Rattus norvegicus: one gene and its partners. The protein of the gene in region 3 interacts with the protein of the main gene of each other region in a pairwise test. Links are inferred from orthologs where the notes say so. Each region holds a gene or a part of one and is shown on either strand. Other genes may lie near its edges.

Region 1 (10,640 bases), on a different chromosome or scaffold from region 3:
TCTAGGAGCCAAGGTAGAAGACAGGATGACTGCCAGCTGTTCAGAGTTCTCACACACTCATCGGCCTTCTCAGTGTCATAACACATTAGGATTTTCAATCTTGTATTAATGAAGTCTGCAAAGGAATGATGGGTATTCGCAACAATAAACCATGTATGTCCTGGAGTAAGCAGAACTCTCCAAATACCTGTATAATAATAAAAATTTATTTTGAAAGTAACCTGAAAAACAGTTAAGTTTTCACTTCTTAAAATATTGTCAATGTTATTATGAATTGTCTGGTACCTTGATCTTACATATAACTAACAGAGAACACTGTTTTTTTTTTGTTTTTTTTTTTTGGTTCTTTTTTTCGGAGCTGGGGACCGAACCCAGGGCCTTGCGCTTCCTAGGTAAGCGCTCTACCACTGAGCTAAATCCCCAGCCCCGAACACTGTGTTTTTATTGGTTAGCTAGACACAGCTAGAATCCCATCATTTAACATTCAAGCTAAACTAAGTGATTTTGTTCTAGTTCCCCCTCACGAAAGCAAAAAAATTTATGTGATCACTTGAACTGAATAAACAACTAGTTCTAAAAAGAAAATCCATGAACTAGCTCTTCCTTCTTTCAAAACTAGCAGCAAGCAACCTGTCTGTCTCCACTTAGCTTTTCAAAGTCTCACCTCCTCAGATTAAACCCCTCCTGGTGTCTCTATTTCCCTTCTCCACTACATCTGTCCCAGGGCCAGGAAAGGGGAAAGACAAAACCTTTTCCTGAACTACAAGACTCTTCAACCCTAGACTGATCTTGAGTTTTTTTTTAAAACAAACTCTAGTGCAGTAGATAAAGGTACGTGCTGAACAAGCCTAATGAACCGAGTTTACTTCCCAGAATCCACTTAATGGTGAAAGGAGACAACTCCAAAACTGTCCTGTGATCTCCAAAAACAAACTGTGGCAGGTGCACCTCCCCTCATCATCATGCACACATCAATTAAAACTATCAAAATTTTAAGTAAAATAATCTTTCAAAGGATGTTTGCAATTGCTACTTTAAGTCACCCCTCTTTACTCATTCCTAAGAAGCAAACAGCTCATCAAACTCACCAGTTCCTCTACATTGCTGAAGTCAGCAATCTCTCAGAAGCATGGATCACATTTCTGTGATCGTTCACATAACCCTCAGTGGAGGAACCCAACAAGGATTTCCCCTTAATCCCATAGACTCTCCTTCATCAACTCCCTGGATCTCTAACCGCTTGGGAAGTCTCATCTACTCTCAGGCTCTTCATTTTTATTTGTCTTTCAAATTTAAAACACAGAATGGAGATCTCAATCTAAAACTCTAAATTCACATTATTCACTAGCTACTTGGATGTCTCAACTAACATGCAGCATGGTTATAACTAAAGTCTTGGTTAGTCCCCAAATCTGCTCCTCTGCCAGCATACCAAAACAAAGACCACTGCCATTTACCAAACTAACCCATACAAACATAAAACCCAATAGAGGTAATTTTTATTTACCTCTCATCTACTCTCTGTAAATCATCCAGGGTTCTTTCTCCATAACATATTTAGAATCTTTTATACTTTAATATTGCTATAGCTCTATTTTTAGTTTGAATTACTTGAAACACCACTTTTCACATTTCTTTTTTTTTTTTTTTTTTTCCGGAGCTGAGGACTGAACCCAGGGCCTTGAGCTTGCTAGGCAAGTGCTCTACCACTGAGCTAAATCCCCAACCCCTCACTTTTTACATTTCTTAAGTCTGCTCTTCCAATCAGCTTGCTAGTGATAATGATCCTTTAAAAACTGAGTCAAGTTAATAGATCTAATCAAAACCCCATGGACTACAACTCAAAATTCTTACCACTCACACAATTCCCACATAATGTAGCAAGTACCAGGCTAACCCTTATATCGTTTCCTGACACTTTCTTTTGATAGTCTCCCTACCAGTTTTTTCAGCAATACGGACTTTGATTTCAAATACCCACAATCCACTCTTGTTTTCTTATTTAAAGATTTATTCATTTATTATATATAAGTACACTGTAGCTGTCTTCAGATACACCAGAAGAGGGCATCGGATCTCTTTACAGATGGTTGTGAGCCACCATGTGGTTGCTGGGAATTGAACTCAGGACCTCTGGAAGAGTAGTCAAGTGCTCTTAACCGCTGAGCCATCTCTCCAGCCCTACTCTTATTTTCATTGCTGCAATTATTCTGCTTGCAAAGGTCCCTTCCTACCTCCAGTTGCCTGCTTACACCCTAACACGGAGGCATTTTCTTGTTACCCTACTAACAGCATCTTTCTATCAACGCATCTCCAAACCTTTTATTTCAAACACTATTGTTACACACATTTACTATGGTGGAGTAAAAATAGTTTCTCTTCTGTTCCCAACTCCAGACAGAGTCACAAGATCTATTTTTCCATGAAACAGGCTTTAAATTTCTGCTGGGTCTACCCTAAGGACTAGGGATTAACTGCATCCCTGTGGCACTGCCCTGATGGCCTTGAGTGCAGTTCAATCGAAGTTGCCTGAGTTTCCAATTTCTAAGTTTTGAGAGCAAAGAAAGAGCTCTCCTTCCCCAGGTTTAATCAACTGTATCTCGTATAATTCATGCATCTGCTGGCACTTAGTTCTGGTAGTTTTTCTTTTACCTTCCGTTGACCTGACACTGGATTAACTCCCAATGACTTGCTTCATCTCTTCTCTAGATCTTAGATCTGTTTGGAAAACGAAATATTCTGACCTTCTCACAAGTTCTAGTAGCCACAGAAAGTTGAAACTACGATTCCTAAGTTACCTCATCCGCTGTTAAAATTACCCTGATAATTTCCTGACATCCCTCATTATTCATTTTCACCTTTATTTCTAGCTCTTCTTAATCATTGCTACCTCTAGATGTCTCTGGGGTCCTGGACGTTCCTACTGTCTAGCCACATAGATCTTAAACCTGCAGTGCTTTCTTCTTTTAAAATTCTCTCAACAGGGCAGCCAGCTCACCCTCTCTTCAAGATCCTATCTTCCCTAATACTGCTAATCAATCTCTCCCAGACTCCTCTGGTACCCAAGCCTGTAGCGCAGCAATTATCTAATTAGTACGGTGCTTTGCTCCTTCTTTAGAATGGGGTTTCTATTCAATTCTTCCCTGTAACTTTAGGACCAAGGGTCAGCTAGGCACAGGGGCATCTCTAAACAGAACTCGAGCGTTCTCACATTTAATTCCTATCTCTTCTTAGTGGAGCGTTTTCCAAAAGACTGAGCTCCACAATCCACTCTTAAAACACCAGTGACTAATCTCGCCGGTTTAATTTCCCCGATCGCTTCTCCAAAACAACATTTCCACACTGTATCCTAGTCATGCCATGGGAAGTAGGGATGCCCGGGCTCCGGCTGCAAGGGTCGCGCAACAGACACTGAGAGGCCCTGTAGCAACGGCGAAAATGCACTCTGGGGACCACGGACGCCTCAGCGGCTGTCACTCTACAGACCTGCACATCTACCTGTTACTGAGGGTTTCCGAGCTGGGCCGTTACGCTCACGTGACTGACGGGGCTTTGTTTTAGCAGGCCTGAGCGTGCACCAGCCTGGCTCGGGACAACGCTCCACAGCTCCGGCTGCGAGGACCTGCGAGCGCAGAGCGGGAAAGGAGGCGGGCTGCTGCTCCAGAAGACACAGTTGCAGCCTCCCGGAGTGGCACGCGTCCTCGGGCAACCCGCCATCCTGCGGGACCAGGGCTGACGCCAGATCTAGGCGCCTGAAAAGTGAAGCAACCCAGAGAGCCGTCCAAGACCACCTGGAACCCACACAAACGCCACCCCTTACCGAAAACTGAGAATCAGAAGCCGCCGAGACCGAGGCCGCCGCCATCTTCCCACCTGCGCAACGCGGGCCGCCGTCCTGGAGCCCCTCCCCCGGATTCGACAGCCGCACGCCTGGGGCAAGCCGAATCCAAGTCCCCGATGGAAAGGGCGGGCGAGCTGTGAACCTTATAGGAGCCTCGGTCTCACAAACCACAAGGATGCCACACTCAGCGCGCAAGGGAAAGGCAACGCGTCTTGACAGGCGCCTTCCAGTGACCAATCAGAAAAGAGGACAACTTCTGGTGGCAGGGGAGAGCCCGCCTCTTCTCTCGGTGACGTCACAAGGTAGCGCACAGCGGAGCCTGCGGGGACGGCAACGTCGTGAGTTGGCAGACTGCTCTGGGAGCTTCTGGAAAGGGATGAATGTTTTGAAGGAGGAAGCAAAGGGTAGAGCTTCTGGAGCCTTCAGCGCCTACTGGTGTGGATGACGGAAGCTGAATAAAGGTGATTGGAAAGTTGATACACTCCATCAACATCCCAGGAATAAACTCCAGAGAGCGTTGCCTTTCCAGGTGAAGTACTGACCTTTCGGCCAATGACAAACAGGAGTAGGAGGGGCTTAACGACATGGTCCAATGGAAGCCAAGGACTGAAAAAAAAATGGCGCTTCGTGAACCTGTGCCCAATGGGCTCAGGCGCACCAGCCAAAGGATGACTGGCCGCGGCTTGTGGGCGGGATCTTTTCAAAGCGGAGTTCGCGCTCCGAGAGCGGCAGCCTCCTATTGGTTGGTTCTTTCTCTCTTTGTGGGCGCTCCCTGCCTAACCGAAGCAAGGGACTGGGCGGAGCTTCCGAGTGACGTGAGGGCTCTCTGTAGCCAATCATAGGGAGGGACGCGAGACCGAGGAGGAAGCGGAATCCACAGCCTTGCTCCCGCTTCGTCTCCCTCCGCCACGGTCCGGGCCTAAGCTGGAGCGGCGGGGCGGGCGGTAGTAGGTGTCCCGGGACGGCGTCGGAGGCGGAGGGGGACGCAGGGGGCCCGGCAGTTGCCAGGCCGGGGCCGCAGCGGCAGAAGAGCCCGCGGGCGGGGCAGCCGAGTTCCCGGAGGCCCCGCCTGAGCGCGCGCGGAGGAGCCGGAAAGCAGGATGGCGGCGTCGGCCCTGTACGCCTGCACCAAGTGCACGCAGCGCTACCCCTTCGAGGAGCTATCGCAGGGCCAACAGCTCTGCAAGGTCGGTGGGCGCCGGGCGTTCAGCGCACCGCTCCCCGCCAGGGTCCGGGCATTATGTGGGCGAGACCCGTTTCGACCGCGTCCCGCCTGCTCTCAGACTGGGGCTGACTCGGCCGCGCCTGGCGGTCTCGGGTGGGGCTGAGCCAGGAGGCCACCAGTCCACCGTGTCGCAGAGATCCGGTGCAGACTCTCTCATACCAGATTTGGGAGGGACTGCCTTCTCCTTCCACTGGGAGGCAGGGCCGTGTTTGCACTTTCTTGCTAGGAACCCGAACCTGAAGCTGCAGAGCTGATGGCATCCTGCTTTTCTGTCCCGGAAAGTGAAGCGACTGGTTTGGGAACAGAGTGCTCTGATTTGGAGCTCCTCCCATCCCATAAAAGCTGGGATGCTGTCTGTGAGCAACTGTACAAAAATAACTAATAGTTTCACATGTAAATCACCCCCTGGAAGTCAGTCCTGACAGCTTCCTTGGTTTTTATCTTTTCCATATCTCCTCGACCCTCCGCATCCACTAAGGACAAAAATATCCCCATGGAATTATACTCTAACTGGCAGTTAATGTGATAAATCACCAGTTGTTTACGTTGCCAGCTAGGTTTTTTTGACATTTCAGGCACTTGACTAGGTCGATTAATTTCTAGCAGAAGAGCAAGGTTGGGAGTCTGAGATAAAAACTGACTTATGTATTATCTTATTACAGGAATGTCGGATTGCACATCCTATTGTAAAATGTACTTACTGCAGATCAGAATTTCAGCAGGAGAGGTTTGTATACTGAGCAGTTTTTCGTTGTTACACATTTGTATAAGGAATAACTGGGGGTTGTAATATTTGTGTTAAAGCGCTTCGAAAAAATGCTTTTGTTTCTGAAATTTAAAATGAAAAGCTACTATGTGCAGTATGAGAGAAGACATTTAACTAAAGAAATCCTGGTTTTATTTTAGAACCAGATTTCAACTTGAACACGTGAAAATAAGGGATAAATTGATAGATGGAAAATGTATACTTCTGCCAACAATCAAAATATAAACAATTACTTTTAAACTGTTTTTAAGGGGAAACTGCTAACTAGCCTAAGGAAAGAGCTACAGTCTTTCCAACTGCCTTCTAAGACTGCAGTCTCTGCCTTTAGCAGTGTGATTAGCACAGATGCTTTTAACAGTAGACCCCTCTTTTAGAGGACACAAAGTCAACTCAAGAGAACAAGTGGTTTTCTTACTGAGTATGTGGACATGGCAGTGGAAAAGGGCAGGCTGGGAAGTGAGGTGGGCCCTGATGCATGAGAATGTGCGTTCGTATTGGTAAGGGAATGTTTAGAACCAGAGGGAAGACATTAGGGCTTCTGCTTTGTTTTCTTTACAGAAAATATGCAGTAAGTTGGTTGCCTATAAGCACAGTGTTTGGAGGTGGAGGCAGGAGAATTACCACTTAGAGACCAACCTGGGCATATATCCTGAGACCTGGAGGCACTGTAGTACGTAAATAGTATATGGAAAATTTGTCTTAAAGAAAACTGGGTTTACAGAAAACTATCCTAAAGTTAACCCAAAATAAGTCATGTACAGATTTATTATAGGCCAGCACATGATACCTACATGGAAAGCTGCATGAGTAATCATCTGAATACAATTCCTTTTCAGCAAAACTAACACAATTTGTAAGAAGTGTGCTCAAAATGTCAAACAGTTTGGAACAGTAAGTATGTTTTTCATTTCAAGTCCTTATTATTGACTAGTTTCAGTTCTTCATGATTTTTCTCACAAAACAGTCCAGTCTCTGTACTTAATCTGCACATATCAACATAGTTCTTGGAAAACTTTTTCTGTACTGTTAGTGGGAAAATGAAGTTGTTTAAAAACAACTGCATGCTTTAGATGCTTTATAGCTTATTTCAGTGTGAAGTTTGTGAAGGTATTTTTTAAAAGTACCAATGAGGCAAGCTCCTTAATGTGAACATATTTATTTTCAATAATCAAACTTTCTCCTGATTTCTGGGACTTTTTATATGGCAGCACCATTCAAGTGTTCAAAACCAATGACAGTATCTTGGTACAAATTGACTAATGCGCGTGCGCGCGTGCGTGCGCATGCATGCGCATGCATGTTGTTGATAGTAATATCGGTGCTGTTTATGATTGGTCAAAGTGCTGACCTTAAGACTCTATACTGTCCTGAATATACAAGAAATCAAGGATGCTTATTCTTACTTAAATTGAATATGCAATACAATTCTTTAATATTGAAAAGATATTTATGTTTACTGTGGCAACAACCTATGCATGGTAAAATTATTTTTGATTGCATAAATGATGTAACAGTTAAGCTAGCTAGTAAATCACTCTTAAGTTCATATCCTCAAGTTAAAGGTTATGAGACTTTACTGTGAATAACTTTAAGTCCATAAACAAATTTTATATTGTATAAAAATGCCGTAAAAATGCCGTATAAGTCCACTGAGGACTCACGCACGTTGTCTTTCTCACAGTGGTCAGATTTCTGAGCATGGGTAGTGAGCTTCATGACCGTAGCAATAAATGTTAGTTGAATGAATAGACCCATAGTATTTGTCTTTGAATATATACTTGGCAGAAACAAATGTTTTTAACTTAACACTTTTCTTCATTAACCCCCCAAGTAGATTACTAACACTGGATGTGTCATATGCAACAAAGTTTTAAATATCTCGGTTAAACAAAATATGTTTATTTTTCAGCCTAAGCCTTGTCAGTACTGTAACATAATTGCAGCATTTATTGGTACCAAGTGTCAGCGTTGTACAAATTCAGAAAAAAAATATGGAGCACCTCAAACCTGTGAACAGTGCAAACAGCAGTGTGCTTTTGATCGGAAGGAGGAAGGAAGAAGAAAAGTATGTTTACTTACGTTATGATATCTTCTAGAATTAAAGCACCAAACTTGGCAATTGTTATAATCAGTACACCTCTAAGACCCTGGTTCCTGCTACTTGAAAACAGAAATGGAGGAGTAGCATATTATGACTTTGCATCATGTGTGGGTTCATGTTGACCAGTTAGGATGACTATACCCGAAAGATCTGTCATGCTGAATATGGTGTGTGCCTATAGTCCCAGCTCTGTGGGATGGTGAAGCAGGAGGATCATTGGAACCCAGAAATTCAAGACCAGCCTAGACAGTACAGTAGAACTGTCCTGAGTGAGAATGCTTATAATCCTTTGTGATAGGCGTTCTGCACTGTTCATTCCAGTTCCGTTTTGAAGTGAATCCTTTTACGTATATGCTTGCTGGTTACTTGAAATTGTTGCTGTGAGAAAAAACACCAGATGGCATATTAGCACATAAGATTCAGAGTTAGTGTCTGCCTTTTGTTTGGCTCGTGTTTGAAACTCCTGTTTGTTTCTCTCTGCCTACAGTGACGTAATTATTAGGTGTATGTGCCATTCCTCTGCTGATGAGCATTCACACAAGCCTCCTGTGTGTCAGTTTCAGTTGCTTTGGAGGATGACTGTCACTTTGAGGGGCTTACCCAGATCCCCCACAGCACTGTATGTACCTTAGTTGTAAGACATGTCCCTCCAGCATTTCCTGTATGGAATGAGGAAAGGCAGAAACTAGACCTTAATTTTGGAAAGAAGTCACTTTCTCTCCGCTGGCCTCACACAATTGGTTCTCATTATTTGCAGTAGTTCCTGTCTGTAAAGTTGCCAGGAGCACCAGTGAATAGCAAGCTGTAGTTTTTAAGAGGAATTCAGGAGTAAGTTCCTGCCTATAATCTTAACATGCTTACAATTATCCAATACATTTGTGATTTTAGTGTCTGTTGAAGATAACTTATATGTGAACCTAATTGAACTCATGGCCAGGAGCAGTAATAATAACTGAACAAAACTATAACTAGCTTTTTTTTCTAAGGTCCATCACAGCCTTTTTAAAACTAAGAATGGCAGTACTGAATGATTCTGGAAAGAACAGTGGTTTACGGTGTGAGAGCTGAAGCACGGAAGAGAATCCTGGCTTGTTTTGCTATAGGTGGGGCTGTGACGCCTGCTAACAGGAGTTTTGTGCTGCTCCACATCTATGTGAATGACCATAAATAGGAGTCTAGACTTAGATAATAGGCAAATCTACAGATATATAAACTCTGAATATAATGAGAATTGATTGTTGTTACAGCTTCTGTTCTTGTTTAAGTCAGTGTTTACTCTTGTGGGAAGTAACTGTCATTTTGGTAATTCACTACTAAAACATTCCAGCTAGATTTCTTTGAAATAATCAGCCATTTGTACTCCTTTTTTTTTTAGACTGATTTATGTCTATAAATGTTTTGCCTGCATGTGTGAACCATGTGCCTATCTAATACCCGAGGAAGTCAGAGGGACTTCTGTATGCCCTGGAACTGGAGTTGTAGCTGATTGTGAGCCACCATGTGGGTGCCAAGAACTGAACCTGGGTTCTCTGTAAGAGCAAAACATGCGCTCAACTCCTGAGCTGTCTCTCCAGCCCCTGTTGTACTTACCTTCTAGACTACATAAAGGCAGTGTCTCTCAAAATTAAAATTACTTTGAACAGTGCTGGAGGTCTATAAATCAGTGCTCGTAGCTAATTTTATAATCCCCTTACAGTGTTAATCCAAACATATATTTGTGCTCAGTTTAAAAAATCTGCATACGTGCATTTATTCTGGAATTTCACGAAAGTAAGAGTTGCACATGTGGAGTGAAGTGCTTGCAGGTTGAGTGGCTTGCTAGACTTGCTGCAGCCCGTTTGCAAGTGCACTTACCCAGCTGTTTTCCTCGAAGGTGGATGGGAAGTTACTGTGTTGGCTCTGCACCTTATCATACAAGAGGGTTTTACAGAAGACAAAAGAACAGAGGAAGAGTTTGGGGTCTTCACATTCCAATTCCTCATCTTCATCTCTTACTGAGAAAGACCAGCACCATTCAAAACACCATCACCACCACCACCATCACCACCATCGCCACAGCAGTGGCCACCACAAGTAAGCACTAAAATCCTTTGTTATAACCGGTCCTGCCATTGCTAATGAGCTTTCACTGTGTCTGTTATCTTGCCTCCTAGTGGCCAGTTTCTGTTGCACATGATGCTCTGAAAGATGTCCACAGTGTATTCTGTATTTATTAAAATAGTGCAGAATTCATTTATAAAACCATGTATGAAAATCAAGGTACATCAGCATTGACATTTCAGTTATGCCAATTAACAAAAGCTTCCATTTTAAAAGATAACTTTAGGTTTTATTTATATAAAATTATTTATTTTTTTAATCTTATGGGTATGTGTATGACACCGCGACCTTGGAGGATAGAGAGTGACTTTGTAGAACAAGTTTGGCTCTAGGTCGCAGGCTTCATGGGAAGCCCTTGTTTTCTGTCTGAGTATTTGAAGTTTATTTCACTTGCTCTTTGTTTACCGTAGTAAAAACACATGTAAAGCAACCTGGAGGAATACATATTTAATCCTTCCAGAGAACAGACTATATATACATACATACATACATACATACATACATACATACATACATACATACATTTATTTTGTATGAACCCAGGTCCTTCTCTGTGCTAAGCACAGGCTCTACCTTTAAGCTATCTGCCCAGCCCCTGCAGAAGCAT
Region 2 (8,795 bases), on a different chromosome or scaffold from region 3:
GAGAGGTTAGCCAGACAGAAGCCAATAAGAGCAAATAGATTAAAACTACTGGAGATTAAATTGGCAAAATAGATATGTGCAAAGTACCCAACAGGAAACAGAGTTCTTTAGAAAACAAAGTTTTGAGTTTGAACTAATTGAAGACTCAGTGTGAGTTAGAACAAACACTATAGAGAGCTTCCTGCCCTTATTAAGGTTTTTCCTATGGTGGGGTCATATGGCAGTGCAGAAATACATACACTGAATAATATCACATATATGAACCAAAACATCTCCCTCACAGTAGTAATTCTGAGAGTGTTGGTTTGCCGAAGCTTAGGTGGTTGGTAAACTGGGAAGACTTAGGTAGAATGTGTTTAGTTTCTCTTATGTAGTCACAGTGAGGTTGGACACACTGAGACATACACAAATAACACACAAGGTTAGGAGGGGGACACTATGAGAAAGTTGGGAACTTGCAGGGGATGTAGAGGCAGAATGATCAAAAGATGTCACCTGCATCTATAAAACTCATAAAGCTTAACCTCGAACAAACCAACAATGCTTACTTGGTGATAGGAATGGTTTGCTCCATTGCTGTTGTGTCTTTACCATGGACATGGGGAATAAAACATCAGACTGTAAACATGAACCACATACAGTTCCTATTTCTCAGGTTTGTCTCAGAAAAAAATAACTGGAAATTTTTAAATAAAAGACTTTTACATTTAATATATCAACATGTAGGTGAACAAAAAAAATTAAAGGATCTAATATAGACAAAAGAACATGGTTCATGGGCTTAAGCATGAGAATGGAAATAATAGATACCTCTACCTTTAGTGTCCTTAATAAATTATAAGAGGATGTGTTATTTAAACAGAGCAGGATGTTTATATCCTGTGGAAAGCATTTGTGTATGTGGAGGAGGAAGAAACGAAAGCGTGAAACTCCACCATATTTTGTGTAAACTGTAGTTTCTGTACTTGACAATGCTACAGTACAACAAAAATTCAGTTAATAGGATACTATGTCCTGACAAACTGACTCCAAATTCTGACAAAGTTCTGGGTAGGGTGTTCACTGTGCGACAGGCCACAGTTCAGTGATTTTATACATGACACAGAACAAGAGGTGCTTTATCTAGGTCAGGTTATGCTTCTCTAAGCCAAGCTAAGGTGACTATTGGCAGAAATATTAGACTCTGCTGATGAGAAACAGGACAAAGACTGTGAAGCGCTCCTGCTTTCTTGCTGTCTCTTTTGAAGGCAAGTTGAAGTTCACCAAGGAACAGCTTTAATAATGATTTAAACAAGGGTGTTAAGAGGACAGGAGAGAGATAAAGAAGGAAAGGGGGAGAGAGAGGAGAAAGAGAGAGAGAGAGAGAGAGAGAGAGAGAGAGAGAGAGAGAGAGAGAATAGGTGGATTTAGGGAACAGGCAATGCATGCTCATGATAGGTATAAGTTTCTCAAAACAAGAAGACCCTTTCCTCCTGTTTCCAAGTTCTTCATATTCTTAATAAATCAATTTCCCAGGCTTAAAAAAAGTACCTGAAAGAGATTGTTAAGTAAGTAAATGTTAACTTTGATAAAGGTCATATTTCGTGACTGCTATGATGCCCATTAGGAATATTTATTGCCAATAGGCAGAGTTCCTCCATAGTGATCACGCCTACTAAGTAGGTGAGAATTAAATTAAATATTAAGTGTACAACATATAAAATACTGTCTGGTATGTAATAATGATAGGAAGGCCACCATAAGTGGTAGCCACTGCAGGTCCTATATTATAGTTGAGAAATAAGACAGGGAATGTTTTGCTTGAGAAGTGGCTGCATTCTTTGTGTATGTGTGTGTGTGCATTTGTTGGGAGAGAGAGCAGGGCATACAACAGAGGAAACAAGGTAGACTCAGGCAGCAGGGAGTTGAGCAATACAGCATAAAAGGGAAGTTAAAGTGATGTTAAATGATGGTGATTATATGTAGTTAAAGACTAGAGAAATCCAGTTTGGCAGGAATGGTCTGGGAAGTAATTATGAAAAAGGAGTTAAATTACTTAGAGGCTAGATCAATAAAATTGTAGTTATTTCCAAGGACAGAATGGGAATGGCAGTCATCTGGCAGATGACATGGAAAGAGGAAGCAATGTGATTCTAGACATGAACAGGCAAACCAAGAATGTCTATGAAACAGTTTTGGAAGCAGAGTAGGGTTGGCCACGTGCCTGGCTTCTTCTGTGTGGGCAACTGGAAACCATTAGTGTTTGGGTAGAGTTTCATGATGTAATTAACTTTGGGGATATGATTCTAAACACAACATTCACATAGAAGAGGAGGCATTGGGAAGGAATCACAGATACAGGATTCACAAAAGACAGTGTTACTGATAGCATGGGTTACAGAGTTAGGAATACGTGAAATGCACGATCATGGAGGCCTGAAAATGGAAAGACACCATAGGTCACTTCCCAATCTACCCTTCACTTTACTGTTAGCATCATTTTCTAAAAACAGATACTTGGTTGCTATTTCTTTGGAAGAGAGCATTAATTTATTACCTACTAACACGAAGACATCCAGCAAGCCAGTCTAAATTTAGCAACACGATTGGAATCTTTCACTCAAAAACTCCTATTGTCAATTATTTTGGTGTTTATGTATTTTCCTACTGCCTGAATTCTTTCCTTGTTTTCCAGATTCCCATGCCATGTCTTTCTATCCATAAAAATTAGTACAATATGTCAACTTTAATCAAGGATAATGGATGTTTCCTTGCCTTCTCTGTACATTGCTTATAGGCCTTGGTAAACACGACTTTGTCTTGTCCACCAATGAAGGGTCCCTAGGACAAGAATGGTTTTCATCTTGTTTTATTGTTTCTCTTATTCTTTGGTATATGTCTGGAATACTTGATAAATGTTTTCTAAACTAACAAATGCATGAAACAATCAAGTGTGTCTCCTCTTGGCACACACTCACGGTTGAATGTGGTGAAGATTGTTCATCCAAGATAGAAATACTCACAATCTTCCTTGTAAAGTTGGAGGGGTAAGGTCCCCGATTCATTGAATATAAAGCTACAATGTGTGTTCATTCAGTGTGGTACATGATTATCATGGACTCTGTGGAATCTAGGATGACATGAGCCTGCCCGTCTGTAAGTTATAGGACCCTGCAGGTAGGGTGCTTAGTATTTGGACCAAACAAACCCTGACAGTAACATAGTTATTTAGCCTATAGGAATAAACTTCAGGACTCTCTGTTTCCTGAAAGTTTGCAGTATTTTGTGTGTATATTTGTAGGTAAAAGTGATACTGACAGTGGCAGGGGATACATAAATTAATTAATCCCAGGTTTATGTAGTTGTTAGATGACAACATATATTCATGTGTATATTGATTTCTGTATGATGCCACATTAGATTATGGGAATAAAAATGTTTGGAGATGTGAGGAATTTGCATTTATAGCATTTTCTTGATGTCTATTACTCTAATGTTCTATGTTTCAGATGCAAATACCTAAAACAGTAATATTTCACCTTCTAAAGTTATATGATGTATTGACAGCAGAGTTAGGCATGACAGTGCCACCAGGCATTTCATGGAGTAAGTACTGACTAAGTTCTAAATATTTGTAATTCTTTAACACTCCCCTTTAGGTTAAAAAACAACCATGCATAGAACACATACCGAACCCGTGCATGTGTACATGCCTCAGCGATGGACTCTTGACACAAATGCTGGGCTCTTGGTTACATTAGAGATAAGCACAACTAAAGAGCGTCTAAACATAAATTTGATAAACACTAACCTAAGTATGGCTGTACCCATGACTAATGCTAGCAGATGTGTCTGAGGTTGCACAAGAAGACTCCATCCACTGCCTACAAAGTATCTGGTGATGAAGTCCTAGGATGGGTTCCTCACTTGCATCAAACATAGACTGTCAAAGAGTGACGGCTCTTCCCTCATATTCTGAGCTAAATTTAGCTCATGCGCATAAGACCTCAGAGCCTATATGGCTTTATCTTCACGCATATCCCTCCTGGCAAAAGAGACCTGGATTGCTGCAGAGAGACCCATGCACTGGTTCATATTTTCTACTCTCCTGGGCAGAGGGAGACTGGATAAGTGTGGCTGTGACCATTGAACATTAAAAGAGAAGAAAGCACTGTGATTTAAATTGAATTTTTAGCCAAAGGGAATGGAATTGAGATTTTTGACAGATAATTTAAATTCCCATTAAAAATAGCCACTGGAGGTACTGGGTACGCCACTCTGTGAAAACCGCAGTGGACGGTGGAGACTGACCAGCTCCATGCATTTAAACCACATTAGTAGAGACAGAGACATGGCAGCTTTTGAAAAGCCTTCAAAGTACTCAAACCTAGCAAAAGTTTGCATACAATTCTAATGTGATTATTTATGCCAACCAATGCATGGGGTCCCTTTTGGAAATTGAGGTCACATGTGGGAAATAAACAATGCCATGTTCATTATAGTAGATTTTTTTTCTTTTTATCCGGAACAATATACTTCAGTGGTCATATGAAAACCCTGAAATATATAATCCTGCTAGATTCATGATACGTGACATTTTGTCCAACCTTTTTAATGTACTTGCTCATGTTCAATCTGGAGTCGACCATTTTAACTGAACTACATCTCATTACCTATATTCTAAACGATCACAGACAAAACACAACCTCAAATGACTGTTTATTCAACCTTAGGTTTTAATGAAGCAAGCACTCATTTTCTGAATAAACATATTTTCATGGGAAACCATTTTCTATTCAGATGTTGAAATAAAGAAAAACAGGCAGGGGTCTTTCCCAGGATGGCCTTTAAAAGTCTTTTGATCCTAAAAGTTGTAAGAATTTTTTTAAAAAAGAAATCTTCTTTTGCAAACGTCTTGCTTTATAGGATATCTTTTTGCCCATGTTACAAAGAGAATAGAATTATTTCTCAGTTAGTTATGTGTAGTTCACCACTATTCAAAGTAGTTTGCTTCAAATTTCAAAGACGGCTCCAAGAGGGATTCTTAAGAAAACTATTTGTGCGCTGGTGGTTAGAACTGTAGTGAGTCCACAGCCTTCCAAAGTATCTGTTTGGGCTGGATAAATTTACCAGGGGCCCTATTAAAACCCAGGCACACTGATTTATGGTTATAGTCAATCGATGGGAGGCATTTCGGGGATCATCCAGTTTTATGGGAGGTAGGAGCGCTACTTCCTGGGTATGAGAGCGTTCAGATGCGGCCTCAGACAACAAGGAAGATGAGTCTGCAGACAGAACTGCCACTCTCTGAGAATATATAAAGGGACAAGACGAATGGGGTGTCACACTCACACCTGACGTGCTCCCAGCCGCTCTTAGACCACCACCACCCTCTCCAGTTCACTATGGCTAACCGTAACAACTGCTCCAGCAGCTGCACCTCTGGATCCCTCAGGAATTCCTGCCACATCCCAGCCAGCTCCAACATTGCCCTCTGCTCTACAAACATGGGCTGCGGAGAGGTCTTCTGCGTCCCCAGCAACTGTCAAGACCACACCTGGTTCATGGACAACTGCCCAGAGACCTTTGCAGAACCTATCAGTGGCCAGCCACCCAGCCGCGAGGCCAGCGGCTTTGAAAACTCTTGTTGCTCTTCTGCATATTGTGTGCCCAGACCCTGTCATGGATCTGGCTATCTTCCCACGACTTCCTTCATCTCTGGATCTTGCCTCCCAGCATCCTACAGGCCCGTGAGCTATGTATCTAGCAGTTGCCGGCCAGTGAGTCCTTTCATGAACAGCTGCCGTCCTGTAAGCTGTGGATCTGGTGGCTACCGCCCACTCCCTTGTGTATCCAATAGCTGCCGACCCGTGGGCATCGTCACTTATGGATGTAGGCCTTCAGGTTGTGTGACCTATGGCCCTCAGACCATTCACATTGTGTCAAACAGCCTGAGACCTCTGCAGCCTGTCTGCGGTGGTTGCCAACCGGCGATCCCTGTGTTTGGCAGTTGTCGTCCATCTTGCTCTGCACAAGGAGGCCAGTAGCCTCCTTGTTCTAGTGAACAGCAATGACGAAGATCCAGGATAAAACTTGCAACTCTCTGGATGTTCACTTCTTTCCAGTTAGCATCTGCTTTTCCTTGTTTGCACCGTGTCTCTGTTAATGCAAACTGTTCCTTTCACACTGTGACTTGCTTTTATCTTTCCCTTGAAAAATCTTGGCCCCTATTGCCACTCATGTTGCTTAGGTGGGAAGATAATCTACCTGATATGATCTGCACTATAATAAACGAGATTAATCCAGAATTAAGAATCTAGTGCATTGAGTTTTCTTTCCTGACTTCATTTGCTAGGGGACACTGCACTGTCAGGTATATGCTACCTGACATGGGGACAATGGTTTATTATTTAGGAGTGTAATGGCCTCAGAAAAATATGGGGGACCAAATCATGACCTTTCTCAAAGTTATGGTCAAAAGGAGAGCTCAACACTAAACCTCTTACCTCTGACTTCTATTGCACACACCTCCACCAGAATATTCTCTAATTGCAAACCAGGCAATAGGCTCCTGTGTGAACCTAGGTTGTTTCCTTTGATCTGATTCCATAAGACAGGATAAGTACTTTCTTGGTTGCTGTTGCCCTGCCTTCTTCTCTGGATTTAGCCCTTACTACTTAGCATTGCAAGTACCATGTACCCACACTCTTGTCTGACATACAGTGTCCCCTAAATGTATTCTTTTAAAATGATCACCACCATTTTATACATGCCACTATCAAGAACACTTTGACCTTCTCCGTCTGTTGGAAGTATCACAACACAATGCAAATTCATTAATGAACCTTGGACTTAAACAACAACTAAGAAACCATGAACACTCACGCTATGTAGAGTTATGTGGGCGGGGTGCAGAAGAGACAGAGGTGTAAAGAAGTCTGATACGTACTATCAGAGTTTGCCAGAAGTCATACACTGTGGAACACATCATAATTAAACCCCATTAATTAAATAAAGCTGAACTGTAAGTATGTAAGTGGTCATCTTTTTGGGGATACTGGGAATGGTCTTCTTCAAATGCAAGAATTAGAAAAAAAGGAAGAAGAACATTAAAACCAGACTTAAGTGTGACATAGATGCTAGAATAATCGGAAAAGGATTTTAAATTACTCTGATGTGTATTCTCAGAAATATGATCAAAAAGCCATCGGGCAAAACAGAGAGATAGAGATTCAATGAAAGGATTTTTTTTTAAATACTAAAAGCACTTGTGAGATAAGAGACCAAGGACATAGGTCCATTACAAGCCCAAACTAAATTCTGAGATGACAGAGCACTTCCACTCTCTCTGCCATATTTCTGAGAGAAACTTGGCCTGGTAAATAGCAAGAAGCAGACACGTACTTGTAGTCTTTTCTCCCAGATGAGGCATGTGCCGCTGTTTCACAGTTCTAATCCTATCTATAAAATTTCCAGCACTGGCAGTGAGTTCTTCCTTTTAAAAACAAGTATTTATTTATTTTGCAGTGTTGGGTGTGCGACTAAAGTGTCCTGTAGGTAGCATAAAAGCTTTGCCTTTACAACCTTAGCTCCAGAGTGACAGAGCAGCTCCTCTCACGTTCCTAATGCTGTTGTTGTAAGGCCCATTTGCCAGAGAAGATGGGATCTGTACCTTCAGTTTCTGAATCCCGTCCTAGACAGATTCCTGACACCCAACCATGACAATTAAGTCTTTAGAAGAGTCTGCCTCTGAGCGAGACATGAAGCTGTAATAGATTTGGTTACATTTCTGAAGAGGAGATCATCTCAAAGTGAGACTAATGGAACTATAACACATGGGCTGTTTTGTGCTAAAGATGTCACTATTACTCTGAAGGCTGGTCCATAGACTCATCCTACCTGCTTCTGAGCGTCAACATGGAACCATAAAGCATCTTCCCAAAGCACATGTCATGCGATCATTGTACTAAAATCCTGTGACGTTCTTCCAACTTCTAAACTATTTCTTTGAATTTTTTGAGCAAAAGATGCTGAACTTATAACTGGCAAGAACATGAACCATGTGTCCTAGAAATTGCTAGAGGCTGGACATGACATAACATGAAGATAGAAAGTCTCTGGTATACTGAACATGAGGCAAAGAAATAAAACAAGAAAGACATAAGTATTGGTAGCTAAGAACTTTCAAACTGAAAGAAAAATAAAAACAAACAAACAAAAACATGAGACCAGAAAATTCTGCATGCTCAGACAGTGTATCGGCGCTGATAATTGAAGAGATAAACATTCACAAAAAGGACTTGAGGTTGGGTCTACCATTCCAACTGCAGAAACCAGACAGAAATTCTTCTCTTCAAAGGAACTAGAGGATGAGCTACCCCAAACTTCCTTACAGAAGTTACAACTACAGCAAGACATTTTAAATGGGTGTGGTAATGTGATTCCTATTGTCCCTTGCCTTTTACATAAATTTGTTTTGTGTGTTAATGAGTCTTTGCATAAGATGCATGTCTGATAGGCCCAGAAGTAAGGAGAAGGCCTTGTAACCCTTGGAACCAGAGTTACACATGGTTCTGAGCTGCAACATTGATGTTGAGAATCAAACTCTGGTCCTCCAGAAAGAGCATCCAGTGCTCTAAACCGCTGAGCTACCTCTCCAGGCCCATCATGTCACATTTTTATTTAAATTATTAAATTGCTTTACTTTGCTGGATTCTGCTTCCTGAAATAACTAGAAAAACCTTTTTTAAAAAGGCAAACTGTTCAGTCCAATAACATAGTGTGTTGTTGCGTGGTATGACTAATACAGTTGTATA
Region 3 (9,999 bases):
CACACACACACGGACACACACAGCACTAATGGTTGTTTATCTAAATGGAAACATTTGGGGCTGGAGAGACGGTCAGTGCCTGAGAGCACTTGTTGGTTTTCCAAGTACTTGGGTCCTATTGGATTCCCGGCACCCACATAGTACCTCACAGACTAACTTGTCTGAGGGAATCTCACGCCCTCTTCTGGCCTCTGAGAGCATTGCACACCGGTGGTACACAGACAAAACACCCATACACATGAAAATAAAGAAAATGAGATTTTTAAAAGGTAAATTCTGTTCCTCAGCCACTTTTCTCCTTGTCTCTAATTTTTGAGACAGTAACTCAGAACTCTGTAGTTCAGAGTTCTGGCCTGAGAACTCTGGCCCAAGCCTCCAGATCCTGCCACAGACTCTCACACGCTGGCACGACATGTGTGCCAGCAGCCAGTCTCACTTGCCACATGTATTCAGTGAGTGCTAAATGGAAGCCCGGACAAAACACTTCTTCTCATCATGCTAGAAGGTTCTAGAAAAACTGTAACGAACAACACCTATGGCCCAACAGTGGCAGCGCACAGGCCTTTGATGCCCGCACTCGGAAGGCAGAGGCAGGTGGACCTCTGTGAGCTCCAGGACAGCCTGGTCTACAGTGTGAATGTCTGGACAGCCAGGACTAATAGTGGGACACTGTCTCGAAAAAACATAAAACCAAAATAAATAAATAATTACACACACACTCAGGGGGGTGGGAGAGAGAGAGAGAGAGAGAGAGAGAGAGAGAGAGTTAGCATGAGCATGAAGACAGGGAATCTTAGTTGTTAGCTGAGGAATGACTATTATTTGTCCGTGTGCTTGAGTATATTTCTGTGTACCTTGTGCAGAAAAGGGTATTGGGTCCCCTGGAACTAGAATTATAGGTGGTTGTGAACTGGGAATAGAACCCAGAGCCTCTGTATGAATGGTAACCCTCTAAACCACGGTGCCTTCTCTTTAGCCCCATTAGCCCTCGTCATTTATGTTTGTAAGGAAACTTCAGAGAAAGCAAATCCTTTGTGGCAGGTCACACACACACTCACCCGGACTGGAGGTTTCGGTATCACATCCCTTCAAGTTAACAATCTGTGGCTACCCACTTCTCGCTAATATTCTCATGCTCCCTGGCCTTTCCGATCAGCCTAATCTTGAGGTTCTCCTTTCTGGATACTTGCTTTCTGCTTTGGTCTGGGTCAGGCTACCACAGTGCCTGCTTTCCATCCAGGTGCCCGCTCCCAGCCCTGGGTGCAGTTCCAGCGTAGAGCTGCCCGCCTGCCCGTCAGCTCCACCTACAACCAGCTTTGGGCTTCGCTCACCCCTGCCAGCACCCAGCAGGAAATGCGGGCTTTCCCTGCCTTCCTGGGGACTGAGGCCTCTAGCTCAGGTAAGCCATGTACTTAATGTAGAGGCACCTTTCCTTCCTTAAGGGCATAGCCATTAGTGCCAGCGTCTTCTTCCCTCAGGCAATGGCTCCTGGCTGGAGCTGATACCCCTGACTGCTGTGAGCGTACACCTGCTAACGGGCAATGGGACAGAGGTGCCTCTCTCAGGCCCCATTCACCTGTCCCTGCCAGTACCCTCAGAGCCTCGTGCCCTTGCTGTGGGCACCAGCATTCCAGCCTGGAGGTTTGACCCCAAGAGTGGTAAGTGTTAGGGGCAGGGTGCCCGTGCTAGAGGCTGGGGCTTCTGTAAGAGGTGGCAGAACACTGGGTTTGATGAACTCCTCTGGCCTCTTCCAGGGCTGTGGGTGCGAAATGGCACTGGTGTGATTCGGAAGGAAGGCCGACAGCTCTACTGGACTTTTGTCTCCCCGCAGCTAGGGTACTGGGTAGCTGCCATGGCCTCCCCTACATCTGGTGAGATCCGTGGGGCAGTGGGGGAGGGGCAGAGGGGAGCGGGAAGGCTGGGAGAGCTCAGGCCTTGTGAAAGGCAAGAAGGGCATCCTAAGCCCTTGCCTGGCACAGGGCTGGTTACCATCACCTCAGGCATTCAGGACATCGGCACGTACCACACAATCTTCCTGTTGACCATCCTGGCAGCCCTAGCCCTGCTGGTTCTCATTCTGCTGTGTCTTCTGATCTACTACTGCCGGTGAGTACGCCTGGAGCCCTCCCCGCCTTCTCCATATCCCTAGGCTTTCGCTTGTGCTCTGCATTGGGGTCCCAAAGATGCTTCTAGACGATCAGTGCTTCCAGGAAAGAATGGCAAGGCAAGAGTTAGACTCCAGAGACTGGTGGCTTTAGAGAAACGGGTGACAGGTGGCAGGACCTGCAGGTCTTGCCTCTTCAGAGACCATCTACAATGGCTTCAGCCAGCCCAGCTCTCACTTCCAGGAGACCCCCAGAGCAGGCACTCCTAGCTGGTGTACATGCCAAGCGTTGCCAAGTTTACCCCGGTGAAACTGAATGAATGCATCTCCTGGATGAATGAATGGTCCTCGTTCTACAAACAGCTCCCCCCAGGCATCATCTGGGTTCCCCACCATTTCTCTTGAACGTTCCCGGCATCCTCCATCTCCACCCCACCTGCTTCATCCCTTGTGTTGGTTTACGGAGATACCTTTCCTTTCAGCATCCCTGAGCGCCTGTCTCTTTCCTCCTCTGCAGACGACGCTGCTTGAAACCAAGACAACAGCACCGCAAGCTGCAGCTCTCCGGCCCCTCGGACAACAAACGAGATCAGGCTACGTCGATGTCTCAACTCCATCTTATCTGCGGGGGACCCCTGGAGCCTACGTCGTCGGGAGACCCCGAGGCCCCTCCCCCAGGCTCCCTACACTCGGCCTTCTCCAGCTCCCGAGACTTAGCATCCTCCCGGGATGACTTCTTCCGTGCCAAACCGCGATCCGCCAGTCGACCAGCCGCCGAGCCTCCTGGTGCCCGCAGCGTTGAAGGTGCCGGGCTTAAGGGCGCCCGCTCCGTCGAGGGTCCCGGCGTGCTGGAGCCCAGCCTGGAAGAATACCGGCGGGGTCCAGCGGGAGCCGCTGCCTTCCTGCATGAGGCCCCCTCGCCGCCGCCGTCCTTCGACCATTATCTGGGCCACAAGGGGGCGGCCGAGAGCAAGACCCCCGACTTTCTGCTGTCACAGTCGGTGGACCAGTTGGCGCGGCCGCCGTCCCTCAGCCAGCCCGGCCAGCTCATTTTCTGCGGTTCCATCGACCACCTCAAGGACAACGTGTACCGCAATGTCATGCCCACCCTGGTCATCCCCGCACACTATGTGCGCCTGGGCGGAGAGGCGGGCGCCGCGGGAGTGGGCGACGAGGCCACCCCGCCGGAGGGCTCGGCCGCCGGCCCCGCGCGCCCCTTCCCTCAACCTGATCCCCAGCGCCCGCTGATACAGGGCCACGCAGGTGCGGGAGGCGACGGCGGTGGCGGCGAGGGCTGGGGCGGCGGGCGCTCCGCACCGGTCAGCGGTTCGGTCACCATTCCGGTGCTGTTCAACGAGTCCACCATGGCGCAGCTCAACGGCGAGCTGCAGGCTCTGACCGAGAAGAAGCTGCTGGAACTGGGCGTGAAGCCTCACCCGCGCGCCTGGTTCGTGTCCCTGGACGGACGTTCCAACTCGCAAGTGCGCCACTCCTACATCGACCTGCAGGCGGGCGGCGGCGGTCGCAGCACAGATGCCAGCCTGGACTCAGGCGTCGACGTGCACGAGGCTCGACCTGCGCGCCGCCGGCCCCCGAGGGAGGAGCGGGAGCGCGCGCAGCCACCCGCGCCGCCGCCGCCCGCGCCCCCGCGCCTGGCGCTCAGCGAAGACACAGAGCCCAGCAGCAGTGAGAGCCGCACAGGCCTCTGCTCGCCAGAGGACAACTCGCTAACGCCCCTGCTGGACGAGGTGGTGGCACCCGAAGGCCGGGCAGCCACAGTACCCAGGGGTCGGGGCCGCAGCCGTGGGGACAGTTCCCGCAGTAGCGCCAGTGAGCTGCGGCGCGACTCGCTCACCAGCCCCGAGGACGAGCTAGGGGCGGAGGTGGGTGATGAGGCTGGCGACAAAAAGAGCCCGTGGCAGCGGCGGGAGGAGCGGCCGCTAATGGTGTTCAATGTCAAGTAGTGCGGCCCGGGGGTCGCCCACCGCCCCTGCCGCCAGTGCAGATTCCCAGGGTGCGCGCCCCGGGATGCTGCAGCAGAGGGGCATACGCTCTTAGCCCGGAGAAGAGCTCATGGGTCAGCTGAGCTCATCTGTGGTTTGTGCTGGGGGAGTGTCTTGGGAAGGGACCCTGGATTGGCCTCTAAGCAGAGGGAGGTGGGAGGGACCCGGTCCCCTAAGGGAGGGGCTGGGGAGGAGGGCAGGGGTGGGGAGCAGTGCCTGTATAAACGTGGCTGTACATAGAAAGATCTATTGTGGGAGCAGGAGGGGCAAGCCAGCCTCAGCTGCTAGGGTGAGGGCTGGGAAGGGAGGGACAATCTCTGTGGACCCTTGGGAGGGGAGGGGTGCTGCTTGGATGTCACAGGGCTGGTGGCTGGGGCGGTCCTGGGGACTATAGGATAATGTGATGACACTCTGGACAACAACAACAAAAAAAAATACAAAACTGGTGAGGTTAAAGCTCTGTGTGTGTGTGTGAGTGTGTGTGTGTGTGTGTGTATGGGGGGGGATTTTCCCCCCTATGGGGAATGCTGATACCAGAGGACCCTGGCACACCAAATCAGACACTGTTAAGAAAGTGTACAAACTTTATTGGAGCAACACGCTCGCACGCGCGCACACACACACACACAAAAGCAAGCTCACACAACACCTGTGGATCGAGAAGAGCACCTGGCCACAAGGTCCACAGAAATCAGAAGAAATGGCAGTTTGATACGGGGCTTTTGCCACAGCCTTCTTTCCATAAGAGAAGGTCTTAGTTTGAGGCCCCACCTTCCATGGTGATGGGGTGACTCAGAATGAGTAGGCCGGGGAGACTAAAGGAAGAGGTGCCAGGGAGGCCTGAGTGGTGGATACCCTCAGAACAGGGTTCCCAGGACTGTGGAGTTCTTTAGTCGTTAGCCCTTCCTCACAGTAGCGGTCTTGGGGCTGGATCCCTCAAAAGTATGTCCCAGCGAGGGGTCTTCTTCCGCAAACACTTGGTTCCCTTGGCTGAACAGTGGAAGCCAATGGGACAACAGTGACGTCCATCTCTACAGCAGACACCCTGGATGGTCAAGGGAGAGTAAGTACTAGACAAGACAGAACACAGCCATGGCCACACCCAGCCACAGGGTCGGGGACAGCACTGACCTTTACATAGGGACAGCAGGCCCAGCCTCCTTGGCTGTCTTTACAACAGGACTGGTTATCATGGCAGAAATGTCCGGCACCACATTCCACATTCCCAACCTTAGAGCCAAAGGTCAGGTCCATGGAAGGCTGGACAGAGCCTGCATCCTTCTCACAGGTTCTCGCCTTCACGTTGCAGGTGTACCCAGCCGGGCAACAGTGCTGCCGGTCCTCACAGCACACAGCCTGTGGAGCAAGAGAATGGCTTGCACTCGTACCCCAAGAACACAGCTCCCTTCTCCCAGGGCAGTGGGTGGAGACTCACATGGGGCAACTGGCAGCAGGCCCAACTTCCCTTCAGGCTTGGGCAGCATGTTTGCCCTACTGGGCAGCTGGTATGCTGGTCACAACCAATATCTCCATGTTGGAGCAGAGTTGTCTGGCGGACAGGCATCTTCTCCAGGCCAGCCACCATTCTGTCTCCCTTCTGACAGTACCCCTCATCCATACATTTGAAACCCTGAGGGCAGCAATGCTGGTGGTCTAAGCAGCAGACAGCCTAGCGGTGGGCAGAGAAGAATGTTCCTACAGAGGATCATGGGAGTCTACCTCTCCTGCTCATAGCTTCTCCAGCTGGGGACAAATCACAGCACTGGGTGCCACCCCGGACTACGCAGAGTGCAGAAGAATAAGGCTACAAGACTCTTGTCACCTACCTACCCAGGCCAAGATGCTATCCCCACCCCTCTGGGCTGTTTCGCTTCCCTCGTTACCTCTGGGATGGGACAGCAGCCCCAGTCCCCAGAACTGAGTCTGCAGCAGGTATTGTTAGAAGGACAGCTACTGAAGTCATCACAGGGGACATCATTCTTCAAGATCTGTGGGTCTGGCAGGCTGAGGGAGGCCGTGACCTTTTTCATCCAGGGTACCTGAAGGACTCCCAGTTCACAGGTTCCTGTCTCTGTGTGACACTGAAACCCGGCTGGGCAGCAGTGAATGTGGTCTTCACAACACACAGCCTTAGGTAGACAGAGAGAGGCCCCGATAAGCACTGGAACCAAGCTAGCTGCCCCCTCGGCTCGGACCACTTGTGCCCACTGCTCCCAAGTACCTTGGTGAATGGACAGCAGCCCCAGGCCCCAGTGTTGAGGCGGCAGCAGGTGTAGCCATCAGGACAGCTCACCTCCAAGTCGCACTTCACCTCATTCACTGTGAGGTAGGGAGAGACCAAGTCATCGAAGACAGTGTGACCAGGCGTCGAGAATGGAGCACACAGCTATCCCAGCCACAGTGAACCTCATGCAAGCCATCAAAACCCACCCCATAGCGTTCCGTAACTGAGAACCCTCTTTATTGAGCAGATGAAATGGGGTCCCATACCTGGGTATCCAGGCAGCTTGGTCATGAGATCTGTGGTGTAGTCCTTGGATATGCACTTGCTCTGGATCAGGTCACATACAGTGTCCTGGGGGCAGCAGTGCAGGTGGTCGGAACAGCAGATGGCCTAGGTTGGGACAAGTAGAAGTCTCTGAACTCTGGCGAGCATAGGGAGCAAGCCAAGCTGATAGCATGCACTGCTCCAATCGGCCACTAGGGGGCAGCACGAGCCTTAAGGCTCTCAGATCAACCGAGTGCCTGGAGCCCCCTTGTCCAGATCCAGGGGAATCCAGCCATTCACTCACGTTGGGCATTGGACAACAGCCATACTTCCCAGTGGGTAGCTCACAGCAGGTAGAGTCATCAGGGCACTGGGTCTTAGCATCAGGGCACACCACGGAAAAAGGGAAAGCCACTGAAAGAGCAATGAAGCATGAGGGAGGGGCTGCTAGGATAGAGGGACTTTTCCCCTTCACCCCCAGGTGCTGGCAGGGTGGCTTCGGGCCTCCTCACCTGCCCTGTTGGTCCTTTGTGCGGGGAATTTCTTTAGTAAGGGGTGGGTGCCCGTGGGTGAAATGCATCGCGTGTGAACCAGGTCACAGGAGGCCCCGTGGGGACAGCAATGCACTCTGTCTTCACAGCAAGAGGCCTGAGAAGAAACAAGTGGTCCTAAATCCATCTGTGTCAGCCCCGGACCCCAGCATTACCCTTCTACCCATAGGTGCCACATTTCCCACACCCTATACCTGGGGCATGGGGCAGCACCCCCAGGAACCATCAATCATAATACAGCAGGTGGCGGAGTCAGGACATTCGAACTGGCTACCAGGACACTGGACAGCACCCAAGAGGCTATCTGCAGATCCAAGAATCCAGAATTCCATTAATCCAGTTGGTCAAGTACCAGTACCATCACTGAAGGAACTGCAGGTCCAGCTGCAGGAGGCTTAGCGGTCAGTCCCAGGGCTTAGGTGATCTCCCAGGACCCCACCAGCTAGCTAGCCCCTACTGCTAAGACATCCAGTGAAACTGGGCTGGTGCTCAAATCACTCCGGCACGGCCTCTCTGTGTCCCACAACGCTGGAGTGTCTGTCACCTTCTTCTCTCAGAACTGCCCCTCCCAGGGCCACCCAGGCAGTTGGGCTCCTGGGCACTTCAGGTAACTCCTGATGTCCGTCCCCACGTGCCCCCTCCCCTGTGCCCCACAGCACCTGATATCTGAGAGCAGGATTTCCCATCCACACTACAGTGGAAGCCCCGGGGGCAGCAGTGCTGGCCATCATCACAAGATACACCCTATGGACGAAGAGACACCTGTGTGAGCAAGACCCTTTTGCCTGGGACTAGAAGAGTGAAGGAAAGGGGTAAATGCAGATCTTAATCAATCTCCTGTTCCCCTAAGCCAATGGCGGCCTCACCTCAGAGAACGGGCAGCAGCTGGAAGTCCCAGACACAGTGAGAAGACAAGAGTAGCCATCAGGACAGTGGTCACGGATCTGGCAGGAGCCATCTAGACGACGGCTCGTTATTATAGGCCATGTGTCCTGGAAAGAAGAGATGACATCAATCAAAGGATCTGTGCCAGTCCTCTGGCCAATCTGAGGTAGACAGTCCTTCAGAAAGCCCAGGCTGCCAACTGGGGCATGAGACACTCACCAGAAGAGGGTTACAGCAGCTGTAGTTGGCTCCTCCCTGGTCAAGGCAGCAGGCAACAGGGCAGAATTGACCATCTGGGCACTGTGTTCCAGCCACCAGCCTTGCCACTAAGGCCAGCCAGCTCACCAGGATCCACATGGTCTGCCTGCAAATGCCAAGCAAAGTCTGGCAGCCATCTTGAAGCCTGTGCCACCTTCTACTCCAAGGCTGTGCATTCCCCTGTGCTCAGGCCAAGGCCTTGGGTTTATTGAGCATTCTCAACGGGAAAGCAGGCAGATGTGTCGCTCGAGTCAGCGCCCTACCCGTGCACGGCACTCGTGTGTCAGCTTGCACTCACTGTGAGCATGAATGTTGGCAGGAACACCAGTGTCGATTCATATGGCCTAACGCCTGAGAGTCTGAGTGCGTGGAGAGGAGGGGAGGGGGTTATGACAGTCGGGAAGGCATGTGGCTTTTGTGGCTTTGATTTATGGAACTGAGGACTAATTGGGAGGCAGAAGAGACTTTAGCAGCCATAAGAGGAAGCCAGCCCCACACCATCCCGCCCGCCTAACTCCACCCCGGCCTGGTACCAAACTGTCTGCCACCTGTAGCTTTCAAAGGCCTTGGGGGACAGAGTCATCAGTCACATGATCATATGGGAAACCTAGCGGTGGAGAAAGTTGTAAAAACAGAAGTACTGTGGCCAGTGGGGTCTGGGCTGGCTTCCCTATGGGCCAGCCACTGCCTACCCACAACTGTCCCCACCCCACTCAAGGGAAGGGGACACAGAGGCTAGGTCAGCCTCAAAGCTAACTTCATGATGAGGCCTTCCGGACATCACCAGGGTCCTTTTGGACTCCTCAAACAGACTGCCTCTGTCTCTCCCTGATCAGAAATCGAAACTCAGCTGCAAGTGGGAAGAACCAGTGGACCTCTTCACTGACTCTCTGCCTCAGCAGGAGGAACTGAACCTCTCACTTCCCTATAAGCCTTTTCCCAGCTCAGATGGTCTACCCAGCAACCCAGAAAGATGTTATTCTGCCTAGAGCAGCAAACCCAGTAATATTCAAAGACCCTCCAGGGAGCCATTTTCCCCTCTCACTGTATTTCTCAGCAATCTATGAAAAGCAATAATTAAAATATTACTTTCACTTTTCAAATCCATGCCTAAGGATCAAGCCAGGGGGGAAAAGACAGGGTATTAGACTGGGTTCATATGCCAACCGTTGTCTCTGGTCATTGCCAGGGAAGGACCCTGATTCCCAGAGGCCAGAGGTGCAGAGGGATGGGGCAGAAGATTTCTTGGCAGGTGACCCAAGCAGGATAGAAGCAGGGTGGGTACAGGGACTTCGTTGAAGCTGCAGTTGGGTTTTAGTCCTGGAAGTAACACTCTAATCTATGACTGAGGGCCTCAGAAATTGTTCCTTCCCTGTGTCTCAAGTCTTCAATCTCTGCCTGGACACTGGTGGCTACAAAAGGCAGGAAATGCCACCCACGCATGGCAGGCATGCTTTTGATCCCAGCATTTGAGAGGCTGAGGTAGGAGGGTTGCAAGTGCCAGGCCAACTTGGGCTACAAGGTGAATCCGAGGGCAGCCTGGGCTACAAGGTGAATCCCAGGCCAGCCTAGGCTACATAGAAGGATCTGTCGTCTCCCCCAACCCCCTCTCTTTCCTTTTTTAGGTCCTTCCAAGTGCTCTTTAACCTAACCCCCACCCACATAAAAAAAAAAATCCCAGAGGCCATTTCCTAACCAGGAAGGGGTAAG

What was found.
Region 1: the proteins of Grn (region 3) and Fam76b interact in binary tests that used the Homo sapiens proteins (3 or more experiments, as listed by UniProt). The link is inferred for Rattus norvegicus from reciprocal best matches to the Homo sapiens genes GRN and FAM76B.
Region 2: the proteins of Grn (region 3) and Krtap26-1 interact in binary tests that used the Homo sapiens proteins (3 or more experiments, as listed by UniProt). The two-hybrid records come from large-scale screens. The link is inferred for Rattus norvegicus from reciprocal best matches to the Homo sapiens genes GRN and KRTAP26-1.

The regions. Positions count from the first base shown.
Region 1 is NC_086026.1:18,966,827-18,977,466, forward strand, and holds the start of Fam76b (protein FAM76B), read left to right. Parts: upstream 1-4,710; 5' UTR 4,711-4,941; coding exon 4,942-5,028; intron 5,029-5,728; coding exon 5,729-5,793; intron 5,794-6,662; exon of another isoform or gene 6,663-6,668; coding exon 6,669-6,723; intron 6,724-7,741; coding exon 7,742-7,897; intron 7,898-8,420; coding exon of another isoform or gene 8,421-8,552; intron 8,553-9,806; coding exon 9,807-10,006; intron 10,007-10,640. Other genes in the region: Cep57 (centrosomal protein of 57 kDa), read right to left, coding at 3,821-3,865. UniProt on the Homo sapiens protein: Negatively regulates the NF-kappa-B-mediated inflammatory pathway by preventing the translocation of HNRNPA2B1 from the nucleus to the cytoplasm.
Region 2 is NC_086029.1:41,448,538-41,457,332, reverse strand, and holds Krtap26-1 (keratin-associated protein 26-1), read left to right. Parts: upstream 1-5,384; coding exon 5,385-6,026; 3' UTR 6,027-6,078; downstream 6,079-8,795. UniProt on the Homo sapiens protein: In the hair cortex, hair keratin intermediate filaments are embedded in an interfilamentous matrix, consisting of hair keratin-associated proteins (KRTAP), which are essential for the formation of a rigid and resistant hair shaft through their extensive disulfide bond cross-linking with abundant cysteine residues of hair keratins.
Region 3 is NC_086028.1:87,888,613-87,898,611, reverse strand, and holds the end of Grn (progranulin isoform a precursor), read right to left. Parts: intron 8,396-9,999; coding exon 8,251-8,395; intron 8,139-8,250; coding exon 8,013-8,138; intron 7,891-8,012; coding exon 7,806-7,890; intron 7,451-7,805; coding exon 7,341-7,450; intron 7,244-7,340; coding exon 7,108-7,243; intron 7,010-7,107; coding exon 6,900-7,009; intron 6,722-6,899; coding exon 6,598-6,721; intron 6,427-6,597; coding exon 6,329-6,426; intron 6,237-6,328; coding exon 5,991-6,236; intron 5,777-5,990; coding exon 5,543-5,776; intron 5,464-5,542; coding exon 5,239-5,463; intron 5,153-5,238; coding exon 5,015-5,152; 3' UTR 4,674-5,014; downstream 1-4,673. Other genes in the region: protein FAM171A2, read left to right, coding at 1,241-1,399, 1,479-1,658, 1,755-1,871, 1,980-2,106, 2,622-4,068. UniProt on the Homo sapiens protein: Secreted protein that acts as a key regulator of lysosomal function and as a growth factor involved in inflammation, wound healing and cell proliferation. Regulates protein trafficking to lysosomes, and also the activity of lysosomal enzymes.